Mus musculus: one gene and its partners. The protein of the gene in region 4 interacts with the protein of the main gene of each other region in a pairwise test. Links are inferred from orthologs where the notes say so. Each region holds a gene or a part of one and is shown on either strand. Other genes may lie near its edges.

What was found.
Region 1: the proteins of Grn (region 4) and 2510002D24Rik interact in binary tests that used the Homo sapiens proteins (3 or more experiments, as listed by UniProt). The link is inferred for Mus musculus from reciprocal best matches to the Homo sapiens genes GRN and C22orf39.
Region 2: the proteins of Grn (region 4) and Fam131c interact in binary tests that used the Homo sapiens proteins (3 or more experiments, as listed by UniProt). The link is inferred for Mus musculus from reciprocal best matches to the Homo sapiens genes GRN and FAM131C.
Region 3: the proteins of Grn (region 4) and Otx1 interact in binary tests that used the Homo sapiens proteins (3 or more experiments, as listed by UniProt). The two-hybrid records come from large-scale screens. The link is inferred for Mus musculus from reciprocal best matches to the Homo sapiens genes GRN and OTX1.

Annotation. Positions count from the first base shown.
Region 1 is NC_000082.6:18,835,220-18,839,379, forward strand, and holds the start of 2510002D24Rik (UPF0545 protein C22orf39 homolog), read left to right. Parts: upstream 1-1,360; 5' UTR 1,361-1,376; coding exon 1,377-1,400; intron 1,401-1,486; coding exon 1,487-1,654; intron 1,655-3,870; coding exon 3,871-3,996; 3' UTR 3,997-4,160. UniProt on the Homo sapiens protein: Negatively regulates long-term potentiation and modulates adult synaptic plasticity. Stabilizes the interaction of RTN4 isoform A/Nogo-A with its receptors, inhibiting clustering of postsynaptic AMPA receptors at synaptic sites.
Region 2 is NC_000070.6:141,366,926-141,370,991, reverse strand, and holds the start of Fam131c (protein FAM131C), read right to left. Parts: upstream 2,801-4,066; 5' UTR 2,690-2,800; coding exon 2,668-2,689; intron 1-2,667.
Region 3 is NC_000077.6:21,998,852-22,002,885, forward strand, and holds the start of Otx1 (homeobox protein OTX1), read right to left. Parts: upstream 2,801-4,034; 5' UTR 2,697-2,800; intron 2,339-2,696; 5' UTR 2,271-2,338; intron 1,734-2,270; exon of another isoform or gene 1,583-1,733; intron 1,007-1,582; exon of another isoform or gene 735-1,006; 5' UTR 626-734; coding exon 529-625; intron 1-528. UniProt on the Homo sapiens protein: Probably plays a role in the development of the brain and the sense organs. Can bind to the BCD target sequence (BTS): 5'-TCTAATCCC-3'.
Region 4 is NC_000077.6:102,429,294-102,433,311, forward strand, and holds the start of Grn (progranulin precursor), read left to right. Parts: upstream 1-1,213; 5' UTR 1,214-1,247; intron 1,248-3,671; 5' UTR 3,672-3,678; coding exon 3,679-3,816; intron 3,817-3,931; coding exon 3,932-4,018. UniProt on the Homo sapiens protein: Secreted protein that acts as a key regulator of lysosomal function and as a growth factor involved in inflammation, wound healing and cell proliferation. Regulates protein trafficking to lysosomes, and also the activity of lysosomal enzymes.

The sequences.
Region 1 (4,160 bases), on a different chromosome or scaffold from region 4:
TTCTTATTGAAGAATTAAATAAACTGATTAAAACTCGCCTCTAGTTTGATATGGTATGTTGTAGATTGGTGGTATGGGCCACTAGCCAGAAGTCATAGGAAGGCCCCCTTGCAGCAGCACCCTACTTCATCCTGTCGTTAGAGACTATTTCCGAGACTTGTGGAGGCTGTAGGGATGGATGTCACTCCCTGATGCTTGGAGTGGAGCTGGTCAGGCCTAGCAAGGTCCTCATGGAGGGTGCACTTTCCCTCTATGTTTGTAGTTCCAGAGTGTGTCCATTTGCTCTTAGAAATATCCATAAACTTAATTGGCTCCTAACTCTGGCACATACATCATTACTGGCCAAATGTGGCTCTGGAAGGCATAAATGCTGTGGTAACCTGCCCGACCTGTCCTATGGGGCTGTCTCAGTTTCCCTAGCAGTAAGACAGCTTTCATTTGTAGGATTCTGTTAGCTAACTTGGTCAGGCTGGAAAGAGCTCAGTTAAGCACTTGTTCGTGCAGAGGATCCAGGTTTGCTTCCCAGCACTCACATGGTGGCTCATAGCCTGTAATTATAACTGTAACTCCAGTTCCAGATGATCTAAGTATATGTGTTGCACATACATAGTTATACACACAAGTGCACTAATAAAAATGTGACTGCATGTGTAGATAAGAGTACAGTGCTCAGGAGTCCCTTCTGTCGCCTAGAAGGATCAAACTAGGAGGGATCAAACTCGGGTCCTTGGTTCTGTTCACAAGTTTCTCTACAGCTGAGTCATCTCACCTTATGATCTCCAGTTAGGTTTTTTTTTTTTTTTTTAAATTGTTTTTGTTGTTGGGTTTGTTTCCTTTTTGAGACAGGGTCTCACTAATATATATATATATATATATATATATATATATATATATTCCTTTCTGGTCTAGAACTGACTCACTGAGATGTCCCTGCTCTTGTTTCCTGAATGCTGGGATTAAAGGTGTGCAACCCTGAGCCTGTCACTTCTAGGAGAACTTCTTTCACCCTTAGTCATCCTGCACTGCCTTCCTCCTCTCCATACACCAAATCAAGCTCACCTACACTCTGTGTATGCTCAGGCTACATACCTGCAATTTCAGTCCGCCAGGTGGGTTACTCAAGAGTTCAAGAGTCTGTACTTCAAAAACTGAACCACATACGGATTTGAAAAATAAAAAACTGGGAGAACTGACCAGAACTCCTGTTTTTTCCGAATGCTAATTAATACCTTATGTGACTTTGAAGCCAAGCCATCGGCTAGACACCAGGTAGTGTGGCCTCTGACTATCAGCCACTCAGTGCAGACGTCCTGTTTAGTGCGCGTTTGCTTGGAGCTCATTGGTTCATGTCCCTGTCAGTCACACGGGGCCTGGACATGGCGGTCGCAGGGAGCTGGCAGGTGAGTGTGCTTGGCTCCTGGGCTCCTGGGCTGGGTGGGATCAGGCCCTGGGGGCTGCCCGCGCTCTCCGCTGTCTCTCCCCGCAGCCTCCCCGGCCGTGCGAGGTCTACCGCGCCGAGTGGGAGCTCTGCCGCAGCGTCGGGCACGTCCTACACCACTACTACGTCCACGGCAAGCGGCCGGATTGCAGGCAGTGGCTCCGCGACCTGACTAACTGCCGCGAGTGGGAGGAGAGCCGCAGCGCCGAGGCCCAGGTGCGGGCTGGGTGTGGATGTATGCGCAGATCCTTGGGGCAACTCTCTCGTGTTTCTCTCCTGAGTACCAAACTGCGTTATCAACGAGACTTTAGACAGCCTCAGTTACGGGGTGGGGCGGCGCGGGGAGGGGGGCGCAGAAGGAAGGGAAGTATAGAGAGGCTTGGAGAGAGTAACCTTATAGCGTTAGAGTCATCAGCTTGACAGCAAGCTTGCCTTCACCCAGCCCTTGGGGATAGGACGGAGGAAGAGAAAAGCCAACGTGTCTGGAGCACGAGGGTGGGCTATAGAGGGCATAAGAATGAGTCCAAGAGCACCTAAAAATGTTCCAGTACTTGTGAATTGAGTTATCTTTGGCAGGTCAGTCTGGACCTGAGAGTGTGAAGGGTACTGTAGAGGACAGAGACAAGTATGGAGGCTGTTGCTGGACCTTTTCGAGGGAGATGTGAAGAAACCTCTACTTACTCTAGATAGCCATGTAGACATGGCGAAAGTAAAAAACATGGCGGAAAGCAAAAGACTGGAAACTTAACTGTCTGTAACTATATGTCAGCTATCATAAATTAGTGTAAGAAACAAAGATGTTTCTGAATAGAGAAATGGCCAGGGTCATGGAGAAGCAATTCACCGGGAAACTCAGAACACAGAAGCAATTATTTCTTTATTTTATTTTTATTTTTTTTTATTTATTTTTTTTTGTTGTTGTGATTGAGACAGGGTTTTTCTGTATAGCCCTGGCTGTCCTGGAACTCACTGTAGACCAGGCTGGTTTTGAACTCAGAGTTCCGTCTGCCTCTGCCTCCTGAATTCTGGGATTAAAAGCGTGTGCCACAACCACTAGGCTTCTATATAGTTTTTAAAGTACTTTTATTCTTATTTTATGTGTGTTTTTCCTGCATATTTATCTGTACCATGTGAATCTACTGCCTGAGGGTCCTCTGGAACTGTAGTTTCAGATGGTTGTAAGCTGATGTTTGAGTGCTGGGAACCGAATCCCAGTCCTCTGGAAAGCAGCCTCTAACTGCTGAGGGATCTCTCTAGTCCTTACAAGCCTTTTTAAAAAGTCTTTGTGTGTGCGAGTGCGTGGCATGCGTGTGTATATATGTGCACACATTGCATGTAGAGAGACCCTCTGTTGACATTAGGCATCTTCCTCAGTCACTTCCCACCTTATATACTGAGGCAGGATCTCTCTGAACTTGGACGTCTCCATCTCCTGAGTGCTGGGACTACAGGCATTCACCCACATACTAGGCCCCTATTTGCTTCTTTGTTTTGTTTTGTTTTGTTTTGTTTCGAGACAGGGTTTCTCTATATAGCCCTGGCTGTCCTGGAACTCACTCTGTAGACCAGGCTGGCCTGGAACTCAGAAATCCTCCTGCCTCTGCCTCCCAAGTGCTGGGATTAAAGGCGTGTGCCACCACTGCCCGGCTCCTATTTGCTTATTAAGTAATAATGATCATGTGATCATGTTAGAGATGGGGTCTGGCTGTATAGCCCAGGCTGGTTTGGAACTTCAGATCCTTTTGGCTTTGTCTGCCAACTGTTGGGAATACTACCGCTCCCAGTTTAAGAATGTTTGTAAAGAGGCCTACATAGCACCTGACACTTTGCCAGGATCAGCCCTGTCATAATACACTGTCTAGTGTCTGTTGGCAGTGGCTGAAAGAAGCTGGCAGGATGGGGGGCACCTTTTACACATACCCTGTGCAGAGTCCAACAGTAATTTTAGACGCTCTCCCTCTCTTCCCCACCCAGTGTCCTCACTCCCAGGCTAGGCGGGTAACTAGCTCCACACTCTCCAGGTCTGCTGTTGCTGAGGCTTAGCGGGTTTTGCATGGCTGAAGGCAGAGACTGAACATAGTTGTGCATGCTTATAATTGCGGCACTCGGGAGGTGGAGACAACAATCTCAGAATTGAAGGTCATACATAGTGATCTTGAGACCAGCCTGGGCTACTTGAGACCCTGTCTAAAACATGTCCAAAGAACACAAAATAAAACTGCTGAAGTAAGATGACCGGTGTGTGCTAAAACAGAACAGTTGCCAAGGAGTGTGGTATAGAAGCAGCTGAGCCTGTGTGTACCATGTGCTCCCATGTGTTCCTCTCTTCAGAAGAGTGTTGAGGAAGAGGGTGATATAGGTGCCATGCAGCAGTACTAAGAGCCCTAGGATCCAGTGGTGAAACAGTAAGTGACCAAGTCTCATTTGTACAGCGATCCCTCTGTGAGAGCGAGCAGGTTCGGGTCCAGGCTGCTCAGAAGCACACCTTGGTATGGGCCTTGAGGCAAAGGCCCCCTACGGACTGGAACCTCCCTCTACCACAGGAGAAGGACAAGTGATAAGCAACTGCAACCCTACCCTTGACCTAGACTTTGACTGGCTCTTACTTGACCTGGAACACAGAGCAAAGCATTTCCAGCCCTAATTGCCTGCTGCCCACTGGATCTGGGCATTTCATCACTGTAATACTCTGAAAGACACCTGTGTGCACATGCTGGAAGCC
Region 2 (4,066 bases), on a different chromosome or scaffold from region 4:
GACCTTCCCCCCACCCATTCTAACACTCCCACACCGTTCCCATCCCCATTGAACTTGCTAAGATGACACACTGGGGAACACTGGCAGGGACTAGGGACTCTTGATCCTGTAGCCCAGCAGCAGAGGCTAACAGCTGGGCAGGGTGGATCTTTCAGGTATGGCCTGGACCTGGAAGAGGGGGACCTGCTAGACTCCATGGGACATTCGTGCAAAGTTCATGATCCCTGACCTCCACTCCAGGCTCTGTGCATGGCCCATGAAAACCCTTGGCAGGTGGGGACTGTGGTCAACAGTCTGAACTCCACAAGGGCTGGCTCCGTGGTGCTGAGGCTGAGGGCCTAGCTGTGGAGAACTCAGAGCCGGGTCCTTGCTCTTTCCCAGTTTATGGCCCTAGGCAAGGTCGCGTAGTCACTTGTAAAATGGGGCTGACCATAGTATTTGGATGCATTAGTTTCTGTGCCTACAGGGTTTTAGAGTAGAGCCCAGTGAGCCATAAAACCGTCCAAGTGACAGGCGAGCAGGTAACCTCTGCCCAGTGGGTCATCAGCTGGGTCTCTAGAAGGATGGCTGACCTCTGTCCACGTATCCACCAGATCTCTCGCTTCTAAGTTTGCTGGAGTGCACGTTGAGACCTCTCAGGACAGAGAAGTTAAGACAATGCAGCTTGATTTGGGGGTGTCACTCAGGAAGCCCAAGATGCAGGATGAAGAATGGAGACTGTCCCAGCCAGCGTGACCACAAACTGCCCTGGCAGAGGGGAGTACGGGAGGAGCACGGGACTTGGAGACCCCAGGCCACAGACTCAGTGTGACTTTGGCAGGCATCACTGCTGTCTGGCCTCTATACTGTTCTGGGTGGCTCCTGTGCTCACGGGCCAGTGCACTCCGGCATGGGTTGGCCAAGGGGTGGAGAAGGGACCTGGTCACTAAGGAAAAAATATCCAGATACCTCACACCCACAACTGCCTTCATGGAAGGCCATCCATGAGTCGTTGGGGCTTCTGGGGACAGCTCAGACTCTGAGAGTAGACCTAAAAGACCCTTCAGGGCTTTCCACTCTGAGAACTGTCCCATTGGCCAGATGCCAGGCTGGGTTCCTCAGGTCTCAACAGACCAGGAGCCATACTGGATTTTCCCAGCTGCTTCTAACGTGGTGCCTGACACTCAGGAAGTACCTCGTCACCCCCAATCAACTTGAACCAACTTCATACAGCCTGACCATGCTCCTCCTGTCCCTCCTGCTGTCACCTTCCGGGGACCCCCTGAGTCACTTCCCTCAACACTCCCCCGGGAACCTGAGGAAGCCCTCAAAGTCCAGAGAATGGGAGAGGGCTGCTTCCAACATTCCAACACCCCCTCCTGGGGTGTCCCCAGGGGGCCTGCCAGCCCACTCTAAGGCCATTTTACCTTTCTCTGTCTGGGTAAATTACCAGTGACCAATACAATGTCAGTCTTGCAAGACCTTGGGGCTGAGGTGAGTAGACTTGACCTCTGTACACTCTCACTCCTGGCCCCGCCCCCTGCTCCCACAGTGGGTAAGACTCCCAAGTGGGACAATGGCCCAACCTCTTTTTTTTTTTTTTTTTTTTTTTTGGTTTTTTGAGACAGGGTTTCTCTGTATAGCCCTGGCTGTCTTGGAACTCACTTTGTAGACCAGGCTGACCTCGAACTTAGAAATCCACCTGCCACTGCCTCCCAAGTGCTGGGATTAAAGGCGTGCACCACCACTCCCGGCATGACCCAACCTCTTTTGAGGTGTTTGCTTTTTTTTTGACACAGGCTCTCATGTAGCCCAGGTTGGCCTCAAATTCTCTATGCTGTGGATGCTGGCCTTGAGCTCTTGATCTTCCACTTTCTGAGTGCAGGCATGTCCCCATACTCCGCAACCTCTCCTAAAATATTACTCCAAATACAAATATTCCCTCCCCACAGCATCTATGAAAGATCCTATGCACACACACACACACCCATTTACAGACAGTGCTCTCCCCAAACCCCACAGATGAGGGACAGTCACTCCAGTTCTCTGGAATCACCTTGGAATGGCCAAGGTGCCAGGTGAGAGACAAAGGCCCAGGGGTTACTGGGAGCATCAGCTGTCCTCTGTCCTCTCCTGTCCCCTGAGCAGGGGTGGGGGTGGGGATGGAGTTAGGGATGAGGGTGGGGAAGAGGGAGCCTTGATAACCTGTTCATCCCTACTGACCCCTTCCTGCGTGGGGTGGGGGTAGGGTTCTGGGGCTAAAGACACAGGCACCCTGAGAGGAGAAATGGGATCCTGGCTTAAAAAGGCCTGCCGGCATCTTGAGCGGGAGCGAGGTCTTCCTGGAGCTCAGTGGCCCATAAGAGGACCAGAAAAAATAGGAAGGCTCCCTCCCCTCTCAGGCACACTGCAGGAGGCGTGTAGCTGCGGGGAAGAAAGCATGGCACCGGACCTTGCTTCATGCCACCTGCCGGGTGCCGAGTGGGGCGTGGGGTGCGGAGACCTCCGTCCCCTCTGCGCGCTGCTCGCCCCCCTCCCGAGCTCTGTCCCCGTGGGGCGCACCGTGTCCTCTGGGGCGCGGCTGATCCATGAAGGGCGGACACCCACCCTGGCTTCCCTGAGCGGAGCGCTGGTGCCCCCCCCCCCGCCCCCCGCTTCTCGCTGCGTCCCGGGCCGCCCTGTCCTCACCTCGCGACACACAGGATCCCATCACGGGGCGGCGGGGCTGGGCCACTGCGCCTGGGGTGCGGTGGGCGGCCGCGCGCTCATGTCTCCGTGGGCCGGGGCTGCGCGGCTCGCCCTCCTCTCGCTCCTAGTCCCCGCTGCCGCGTCCGGATCGCCTCGCGCCGCGCCCGCAGCTGCCAAGGCCGGGCGACACCGCGGCGGGCGGGGACCCGGGGAGCGCGGAGGGGGCGGGGCTGGGGTGCGCCCCGCCCCCTCTGTGCCAGTGTACCTGTTGTCGCTAACCAAAGTAAGGCAAACCAAAGTAACAGGACTCGGCCCTGTAAGGAAGACTTCTAGTTTCAAATCTGAGTAGCGCCTGCTTTCTGGAGCTCAAGGTCAGGGGAAAGGGCTGGGAAGGGGAATTCTGCAAAGATGAGCCTCATCCCACTGTGCACAATGAGCAAGATCGAGCTTTGTTTTGTTTTATTTTATTTTGTTTTATTTTATTTTATTGGCTTTTCGAGACAGGATTTCTCTGAATAGCCCTGGCTGTCCTGGAACTCAGTTTGTAGACCAGGCTGGCCTCGAGCTCAGAAGTATGCGTGCCTCTGCCTCCCAAGTGCTGGGATTAAAGGCGTGCACCACCACTGTCTGGCCCTGAGCTTTATTTTTAGTGTGTGTGTGAGAGAGAGAGAGAGGGATCAAAGTACACTTGGGGTGGCGGGTGGGGGGGGACGGGACTCTATTCTTTCTTTCCACTATGTGGGTCTCAGGGATCAAACTTGGTAACCAGACTTCCTGGTAAGTACCTTTAACCTGCCGAGCCATCTCGCCAGCCTCCAGGTCAGGGGTTTTTGATAGTCACCTGCTTATGGGAGGATGCTGGTCCAGGGAGGGAGTTCTGAGGGAGGACCAAGACACTGCATTAGTGGCCTCCTGGCTAGATAAGCGGTCTCATGCAAGAAGGTAGGCTACCTCCCAGGGCTCCTCTGGAGCAAGGAAGTATAGGCAAACCCTACCTAGGAACTTCTGTCATGGAATAGTGGAGGCTAATTGCTGGCACTTGTATGGCTGTTAGCGTGTGTGTGTGTGTGTGTGTGTGTGTGTGTGTGTGTGTGTGTGTGTGTTCCTCTTCTCACACATATGCACTGTGTGCATTCACATGCACTCATTTAGGATCCTGGAGAGAGTGGTCAGATGTGCTGTGACAAACCTTGCCAGGCCTGAAGCACCCTGTATCTGAGGTAAATGTCACCTCACCCCATCCTTGGACATTCCTGTTTCCAGACAGAGGAGTCAATGGGTCTGTTTACCAGCCCTGTATCACTAGAGACAGCCCTGGGGGATGAATATGGCTTAGAGCAAGGGTTTGAAGACCCTGTGCAGAGCAGAAGCCAGGCCTGCTGGGGCTGCCCAGGGCTGG
Region 3 (4,034 bases), about 80 Mb from region 4:
GGTCACTTTTTCCAAGAGAATAAACTCATGTTAAATAAGTAGGATCTAGAAAAGAAACCCAGGGCTCAGCTGGAGTCCCCCATCATGCCAGAAGAGTTGGGACAAATCACTGGTCTTGAGGTTTCTCTATGGAGAAAAAAAAAAAACCCTACTTCTCAGGGAAGCTAGACATAAGAAAAATTTGGCTATGTTAGGGCCTAGTGAGTGTCCAGATTCCTCATGAAATGTTGGACCAGGGAAAGGTTTTATTTTTTATATTTTTAAAAAAAGCAACTGAGGGAAATAAATCCGGGGGCAGGGGGAGGGATAAACCTGCCCTCCCTAGCAAGTGGGACACAAGAGGAGCCAGGTTGCAGGCACCACAAGCTCAAAAGTTGTAGGCTGCACTTTCTACAGAGCAAGGCAACAGGCGGCGAGCTAATCACCTTCCTGGGTCTGTTTAGGGACTGTGTGGGCTCAAACTGTAGAGGATGGAATCCCCCAATATTTACAGAGGTTTGAGGGTAGGGGCAGAGGGCCACTGCTCACCAGGGTAGCCCACGGAGGGGTGCAGGAGGTCCATGGCAGGGCCAGCTAGGCCCAGCCCGTTCATGCCGTATGGGGGTTGTTTGAGGTAAGACATCATGCTAACAGCCGGGTGGAGGTGCCCCGACGGATCCAGGGGGCCTGAGGCCAGGAGCAGTTCAGGGCTCCCACTGCGAAGTCCTTCAAGCTGTTGCTTCTGGGGGCCTGGCCTAGGGAGACAGCAGACACATGGAAACCTTCACCCGCAGTCAGTTTGGCTTTCAGCTCCTCTAATCCTTGAATGGGGAGGGGGCGCGTGCTAGGAACTGCACAGCAGGCAATCCGAGAAACGTCTTCTCCTTTAGCTCGGCAGCTACACAGCTTCTCAGGAAAGTAAACTTTTCCCACATCGTTCCTTCCTCTTTTAGGGCTTGACAAGGGCCAAAGACACTCCTCGAGTGTCAACAGGAAGGAAAAGTTAAAGCGTGATCAGGCTGAGGAGGTGAGAGCCGGGACCGCGGAGGGTGCAAAATCCCAAGTGAAGTCAATTTTTTTTTTAGTGTGGCGGAAGCAATTTGCTCAAGCAAATGTTCATTTGGCGCCGGGAGGGCAGGCCGCACAGAGATACCGGGTTATTTCGTTTAGTTTGAAATATTTTTGAAAGAGGGACAAAATGGCAAGTAATACAGAGGCCCAAGGTGAATACACCTTGGGTCGCCAAGGCTCACTGGCCACATCATTTCTTCAAAGATCTCCAGCGCTGCCTCCTACCCCAGAGCCTGCAATCACCTTTCTAGTTGACCTCTCTGGGCCCCTAGCACTAAGAGATAGCTGAACAGGAATCCCACCGCACCTCCAGGGTAGATGCGGCCCAGGCCAGGCTAAGGCGGCAAGAAGACGCCAAAGGCACCACAGTAGAAGTGGCAGTTTCAGGATGCCGCCCAAGGTCAGGGGTACCTCCGAGGCGGTCACCCCTCTTCCTTTGCTCGCACAGGCGGGCCTTCTTTCTACCAAGTCTGCTAAGCACACCGAGTCCCACCAGAATTTGATGGCCAACCCAGCGCCCCAAACATTCTAGGGATTTTGGAAGGCCTAGCGTGCCAGGTCGCGTCGCATCGGCCGTCCTATATGAACCCGATGGAGAGCAAGGAACTAGGCCTCAGGTTGTAAAGCTCACGCACAGCCGACCGGGAGGGCGAGGCTCGGCGCAGACACTCTGAGCCCACGCAGCTCTGCTCCAGCAAAAGAAGGGGTTCTGGGAGTATGACTGGGACCGGCGGGGGGCTTGAAGCTACATCCCAGGACCCAAGGGTAGGAGATTCCGGGGAGAAAGGGAGGTAAAACTAAAGCAGCTCCCCCATCCCAACTCCTTTCCCCGCCTCAGCCCTGGGGGACCCTCAGCCTAGACTAAGGGGGTGGGGGGAGGTCAGCGAGCACATAAGGCGGAAAGGAAGGATTCAAAGAGCTTGGGCCGAAGGGCCACAGGCCTGCAGCCTCCGCGGCTAAGCCCGGCTGCGGTGTGAGTTTTCGAGTACTTTCGTCTAACTTAGCAGCCCAGTTCCGCAGCTTCGGAGGAGGCGGGGGAGGGGGCGGCCGGCTCCCGAGCGGCCTGGGGTCCCCAGGGCAGCCAAGGGGCGCCCGGCCTCTCACTCCAACCCCGCCCACCTGCCCCGGACAGAGGTAGCGGGGGTCGATTAGAGGACGGGGAGACGAGAGGGGCCACCATCGTCCCGGGGTGGCGCGCGGCCCGGCGACTCCCTCCTTACCTGCCCTCCGCAGTCGCGGCTTTTCACCATCTACCTCTCGCCTTCACCGAGACTCGCCGGCAGCCAACCTGCAAAACGGAGGCGCACAGGTATTACCCCGGAGACGGCGGGACCCTAGGCTTTCCTCTTCCCTCAACTTCCCTCTTCCCGTCTCCTGCATTTTTTCTAGGAGCTCTGTGCGTGTACCTCCAGGTTTCACTTTATTGCTCAAACACTTTGTTGCAAAGTCCCACATGCTTTTCCTCTCAAGACCTGGCCTCGCCCGGGACCCGGGGGGTGGGGTGGGTGAGTAGGGGGTGTTCGAGGGACAGAGTTAGGAGGTGGCTTGCGCTGGCAGCTGCACTCTCTCGGAGCAAGCCGGAGGCGGTAGGGACTGGAGAAATCCTGCATAGTCACTTGGCAAACTAAATAAATCAAGCAATTTACCTTGTCGGAGTGGCTTGTCTTGCTCGGTTGTTTAGGTGATTGGAAATGTAGCCTGATGAAGATTGATCACCTTTCTACTGCCCTCCCCGGGTATGTGAACGCGAGGCGAGTGCGTAACGGGGCTCGGCCTCCAATAGGGGGCCTAGAGCGGACTGAGTGACAGGGAGCTGGGCAATGGCGAGCCCGGGTTACCTCCGCGCGCCCCCGCCCTCCCTCGCCCCCACCTCCTCCCTCCCCGCGCGCCGGCCCCGCCCCGGTCGCGCGCTAACTCTGGGTCTAGGTTGGCAAATTCCGCTCAGAACGAGTTGAGGAGGGCGAAGGCTGCGCCGGAGTTGCTGGCACAGAGGGGGCCCCGGGTCCCAAGGCTCGCCCGAGGGCCCCCGCCCTCCCCTTGCCCGGGCCGCGCTCCGGAGGAGTGGCGTCAAGCTGCTGGATAACCGGTTCCTGCTCGCGCGCGCGCGCCGCCAGGCTCTGCCGCACTGTGGGAGCCAGGCTTCCCAGGCCGAGGACTCGGGGCGTGCTGGCCCCTGGCACTCCTTGATGCTCCCTGGGGCCCCAGCAACTCCTCCTCCGCTCCCCCACAACCAGCGGTCGCCGCCGGCGCGGGCTGCTGAGCGGAGCCGGGAGTGGGGGTGCAGCTCTCGGCGCGCAGGGCGCCCTGCGGCGACCCGGGACTCTTGCGCCCAGAAAGAGCACCGGCAGGGGAGGCGCCGCCAATTCCCAGCTGCACAGCGTTTCCAGGGGCTCCCAGGCAGTCTCACCAAAGGTGTTCGCAAGTCCTAAAAGCTTCTTCGGAACCGTTGGAACTCAAATCTCCTTACATTCTCTCTCTCTCTCTCTCTCTCTCTCTCTCTCTCTCTCTCTCTCTCTCTCTCTCTCTCATGGATTTGATAGAAAACTTTCTTTTTCACAATCTGTCAGTCTTTCCAGATCTCCACCTACAACGAACAGTCTGGTGGAAAATGTGGCTACACACCCCGATCCCTCTCACTTCATTTTCTACACCTTACTGGAGGAGCCTCCTCGAAACAATTTCCCCGGATTGTTCTTACTGGCAGACCCCAGTTTCCAGCCGAATAAACTTGCTGAGATCGTCTTCTTGTGTGTACTTTTCAAAGCGAGAGGGAAGAGTATTTTCGGCCCAACCCCGAACAAGGCAATATTTTTACATGGCATCTCCTACTGAATACTAGGGACCACACTTACACTCTTTCCTAGTTCTTTTTCCTCATCTTCTGCCGTTCTCACCCCAACAGGCGGGCGAAAAGTTTGAACCACAGTATGTGCGTGGGTGAGTTCGGCAGCCGCCGAGAGCAAGGTAGAGCGGAGCACCGCGAT
Region 4 (4,018 bases):
GGGTGAGCTGCAATGTTGCTGAGTCTGGTTTCCAACTCCTGGGGTTCAGCAGCACCCCTTCCTCAGCCTCCGCAGATGGCTGTGTCTCACTAGAAGCATAAGCAATGGTCTGTTCTGGGGACACCTGTATGAATGTCATGGAACACCTATGCTAACACCATCAGGATGCAGAATGATGCACCAGTCTTACACACTTTCTGGGACTCCAGTGTAAGAAGCCCTCACGGAATTCCACAACCCTGCATGCACTCCTCTCTATGTAAGACTCCCACTGTCCTGAACTGTATGGCTGACCCCCATGGTCTCTATTCACCCACCATAACAATTCCTCGAAGGTGGGGACAGCTGAAACAAGGAAACCCCTTCCATCTCGACAGCCACCAGCCTACTCCACAGGCAGTGCCACACACTTGGCTAATGCCCTTATCTTGAACGTGGCTTTCAACCCTTGCTAGAGGCTGTCTGTAAAGAACAAGATATAAACTACCCAAGGAAAGGATTCACTGTCTTTCCCAATCTAGTTTCAAGTTCCTCTGTCCCACCTTATCAGCCTCTTAAAATTCTTTCAGCTTCAATTTAATGCAGTGCTATCAATATGGATTTAAATCTCTTCTTCCCCCCAGTTTGAGCCAATCTCCTGCCTCCTCCCTACACACATCTACAGTGCCCGGTACTCGCCCTTGAACCTTTATTAGATTTAGTCTAAGCCACTCTCCCCATTCAAACCTGGGGACTATTTATCTTCACCCTCACAACCATCTTCCAACTGGTTTCGAGTCCTTGTCTGCCAGGCGTGAAGAGACAGGAATGTACAAAAGTCCCGATCCAGAAGCAGACACCCTCCAGTAAACGACCTTGAACGCGTGCCCTCAGGGCAGCTCTCCTAACTGTGGGTGCCCTTAGGCATGAGGTGTCTCATCTCTGCAACACTCTGCCGCCAGAACCCAAACCAGCAAGCTCTGCCCTGGGGGAGGCGGGCTATGTTGTCATATGATTCTCTAATCACATGATCCCTAGAAATGGGGTGTGGGGAGAAAGAGGAAAGGGAGGAGGAATGTGAACTGAGTAGAAAAGAAACACAGCATTCCAGGAGAGTCCCGCCTCTACGTAGACAAGTAACCAATGGAAGCCCTGGATCTCCGAGCAATGGCTAATGGAAATTGAGGTGGGCGGGCCATCGTGCGGCCAAGCCCTAGTCCTGGAGCTGACCGCCAGATGCCTCCCAGGGAGCCCGGACCCCGACGCAGGTAGGAGGACCCTCTGCAGACAATCTCCCCGGCTACTGTCCAGAGGTCCAGAGGCCTGACCAGGCTGCCTGTGCAATTGAGGGTCCTCTGGAGTCTCAGCTCAGAGACAAGAGAAGACCTGCCTCTTGAAACTCCCCTAGGGGTTTCTGATGCACTAACGAGGTTGTTTTTTTCTTTTCTTTTTTGGAGGGGTGGGGGCAGTTGTTGTAGAGACACCTCCCCGCACCCCCTCCCCCCCAATAAGAGGCTTCTCTTGCCCAGCATGTCGGAAAGCTGCAGGCCTTTCTCCAGGACAGGAACCACCCCACTCTTGGGCCAGCTCCTCTCTTGTCCGTACTTCCCACCTCTGTCTCCAGGTCCGGCTCTTTCTCTTTCGGACGCTGCAAGTGTTCTCTGCGGCGGCGTGCATTGGGTGGGGATCTCCGGCCCTTGGCCCCCAGAGCTCAAAGGGGTTGCGAGCAGGACCAGGGCGTGATGGCTGAGTCCCTGGGTTGTGTCAGCTTTATTTCCTTTCTTGGGGGGCGAGAGAGCTAATTTCCGCCTCTCCCCGCCACTTTTCCCCCGCTGCCTCTCATCTGGATTGGCTCACCTTTTAGGAAATTCATTTCCCCTCGACACTCAGAGTTGGGGGGTGCCACCTAGTGGAAGATGTCGGAGCTAGGGCTTTGAAAGGCTCCAGTTCTCCCTAGCTGTGTAGTGTAGAGGTGGCCAGGGGCTCACCACTCCCTAGCCCCGTTGAGAGGAACTGGGTCTTCCCTACCCCTTCCTGGTTAGGAGATGGCCTCTGGGATGTTCTTTGAATTAGGTGAAAGGGCACTTGAAAAGACCTAGAGAAGGAAAGAGAAAGATGGCAGATCCTTCTATGTAGCCCAGGCTGGCCTGGGATTCACCTTATAGCCCAAGTTGGCCTGGCACTTGCAACCCTCCTACCTCAGCCTCCCAAATGCTGGGATCAAAAGCATGCCTGCCATGTGTGGGTGGCATTTCCTGTCTTTCATAGCCACCAGTGTCCAGGCAGAGAAGAATTGAGACACAGGGAGCAATTTCTGACATAGAGTGTCACTTCCAGGACTAAAACCCAAGTCTCTGTACCTACTTTTTAAATATTTTATTATTATTATTATTATTATTATTATTATTTTTTTTTTTTTTTTTTTTTTTTGGTTTTTCGAGACAGGGTTTCTCTGTGTAGCCCTGGCTGTCCTGGAACTCACTCTGTAGACCAGGCTGGCCTCAAAACCAGAAATCTGTCTGCCTCTGTCTCCCAAGTGCTGGGATTAAAGGTGTGCACCACCACCGCCCGGCTCCCACCCTGTTTCTATCCTGCTTGGGTCACCTGCCAGAAAAATGCTCTGTCCTGTCCTGTTTGGACCTCTGGCCTCTGGGATTCAGGGTCCTTCTCTGACAATATTCAGGGAGACCAGTTGGCATATGAACCCAGTCCCATATCCCGTCTTTTTTCCCTGACTTGATCCTTAGGCATGGATTTGAAAAGTGAAAGTAATATTATAATTACTGTTTTGCATAGTTGTTGCAGAGAAATACAGTAAGGAGAGGGAGAAAGACTCCCTAGAGGGTCTTTGAATATTGTTGGGTCATTCTGGGTTGCTGGGTAGGCCAGCTGGGCTGGGGAAAGGCTTATTAGGGAAGTGAGAGGCTCGGTTCCTCCTGCTGAGGCAGTGAGGCACTGTGCTGGGTCTTCCCACTTGCAGCTGAGTTTCGGTTTCTGAGGGGGGAGAGACGGAGGCGGTCCGTTTGAGGTGCCCTGGTGATGTCGGGAAGGGCTCACCATGAAGTTAGCTTTAAGGCTGATCCAGTCTCTGTGTCCCCTTCCCTTGGGTGGGGTGGGGGGACAGTTGTGGGTAGGCGGTGGCTGGCCCATAGGGAAGCCAGACCAGACCCCACTGACCACTGCACTTCTGTTTTTACAACTTTCTCCACTGCTCGGTTTCCCATATGATCATGTGACTGATGACTGTCCCTCTCCATCCCCCAAGGCTTTTGAAAGCTACAGGTGGCAGTTCAGTGCCGGCAGTGGGGCTGGCCATCCTCCTGTGTCTGCTGAGGTCTCCTCTGCCTCCCAGTTAGCCCACAGTCCCATAGATAAAGCCACAAAAGCCACATGCCTTCCTGACTGCCATACCCCGTGCCCCCCCCCCCCACTTACCCAGAGTCTCAGCCGTATGTGAGGCCATGAATCCACACGTGTTCATGCCCACAGTGTGTGCCAGCTGACGCATGTGCGCTTGCTGCACACTGGTAGGACGCTGACACAAGCGACACATCTGCTTGCTTTCCTGTTGGCTTGTTGAGAAGACTCAATGAAGCCAGGGCCTTGGTCAGAGCACAGGGGAGTGCGTGGCCTCAGAGTAGAAGGTGGCACAGAGTTTAAGGTGGCTGCCAAACTTTGCTTGGCATTTGTAGGCAGACCATGTGGGTCCTGATGAGCTGGCTGGCCTTCGCGGCAGGGCTGGTAGCCGGAACACAGTGTCCAGATGGGCAGTTCTGCCCTGTTGCCTGCTGCCTTGACCAGGGAGGAGCCAACTACAGCTGCTGTAACCCTCTTCTGGTGAGTGCCTCCTGCCCCAGTTGGCACCCCGGGCCTTTTGAAGGGCTGGCTACCTTGGATTGACCAGAGCAAGGCTGGCACAGACCCTTTGGTTGATGTCATCTCTTCTTTCCAGGACACATGGCCTAGAATAACGAGCCATCATCTAGATGGCTCCTGCCAGACCCATGGCCACTGTCCTGCTGGCTATTCTTGTCTTCTC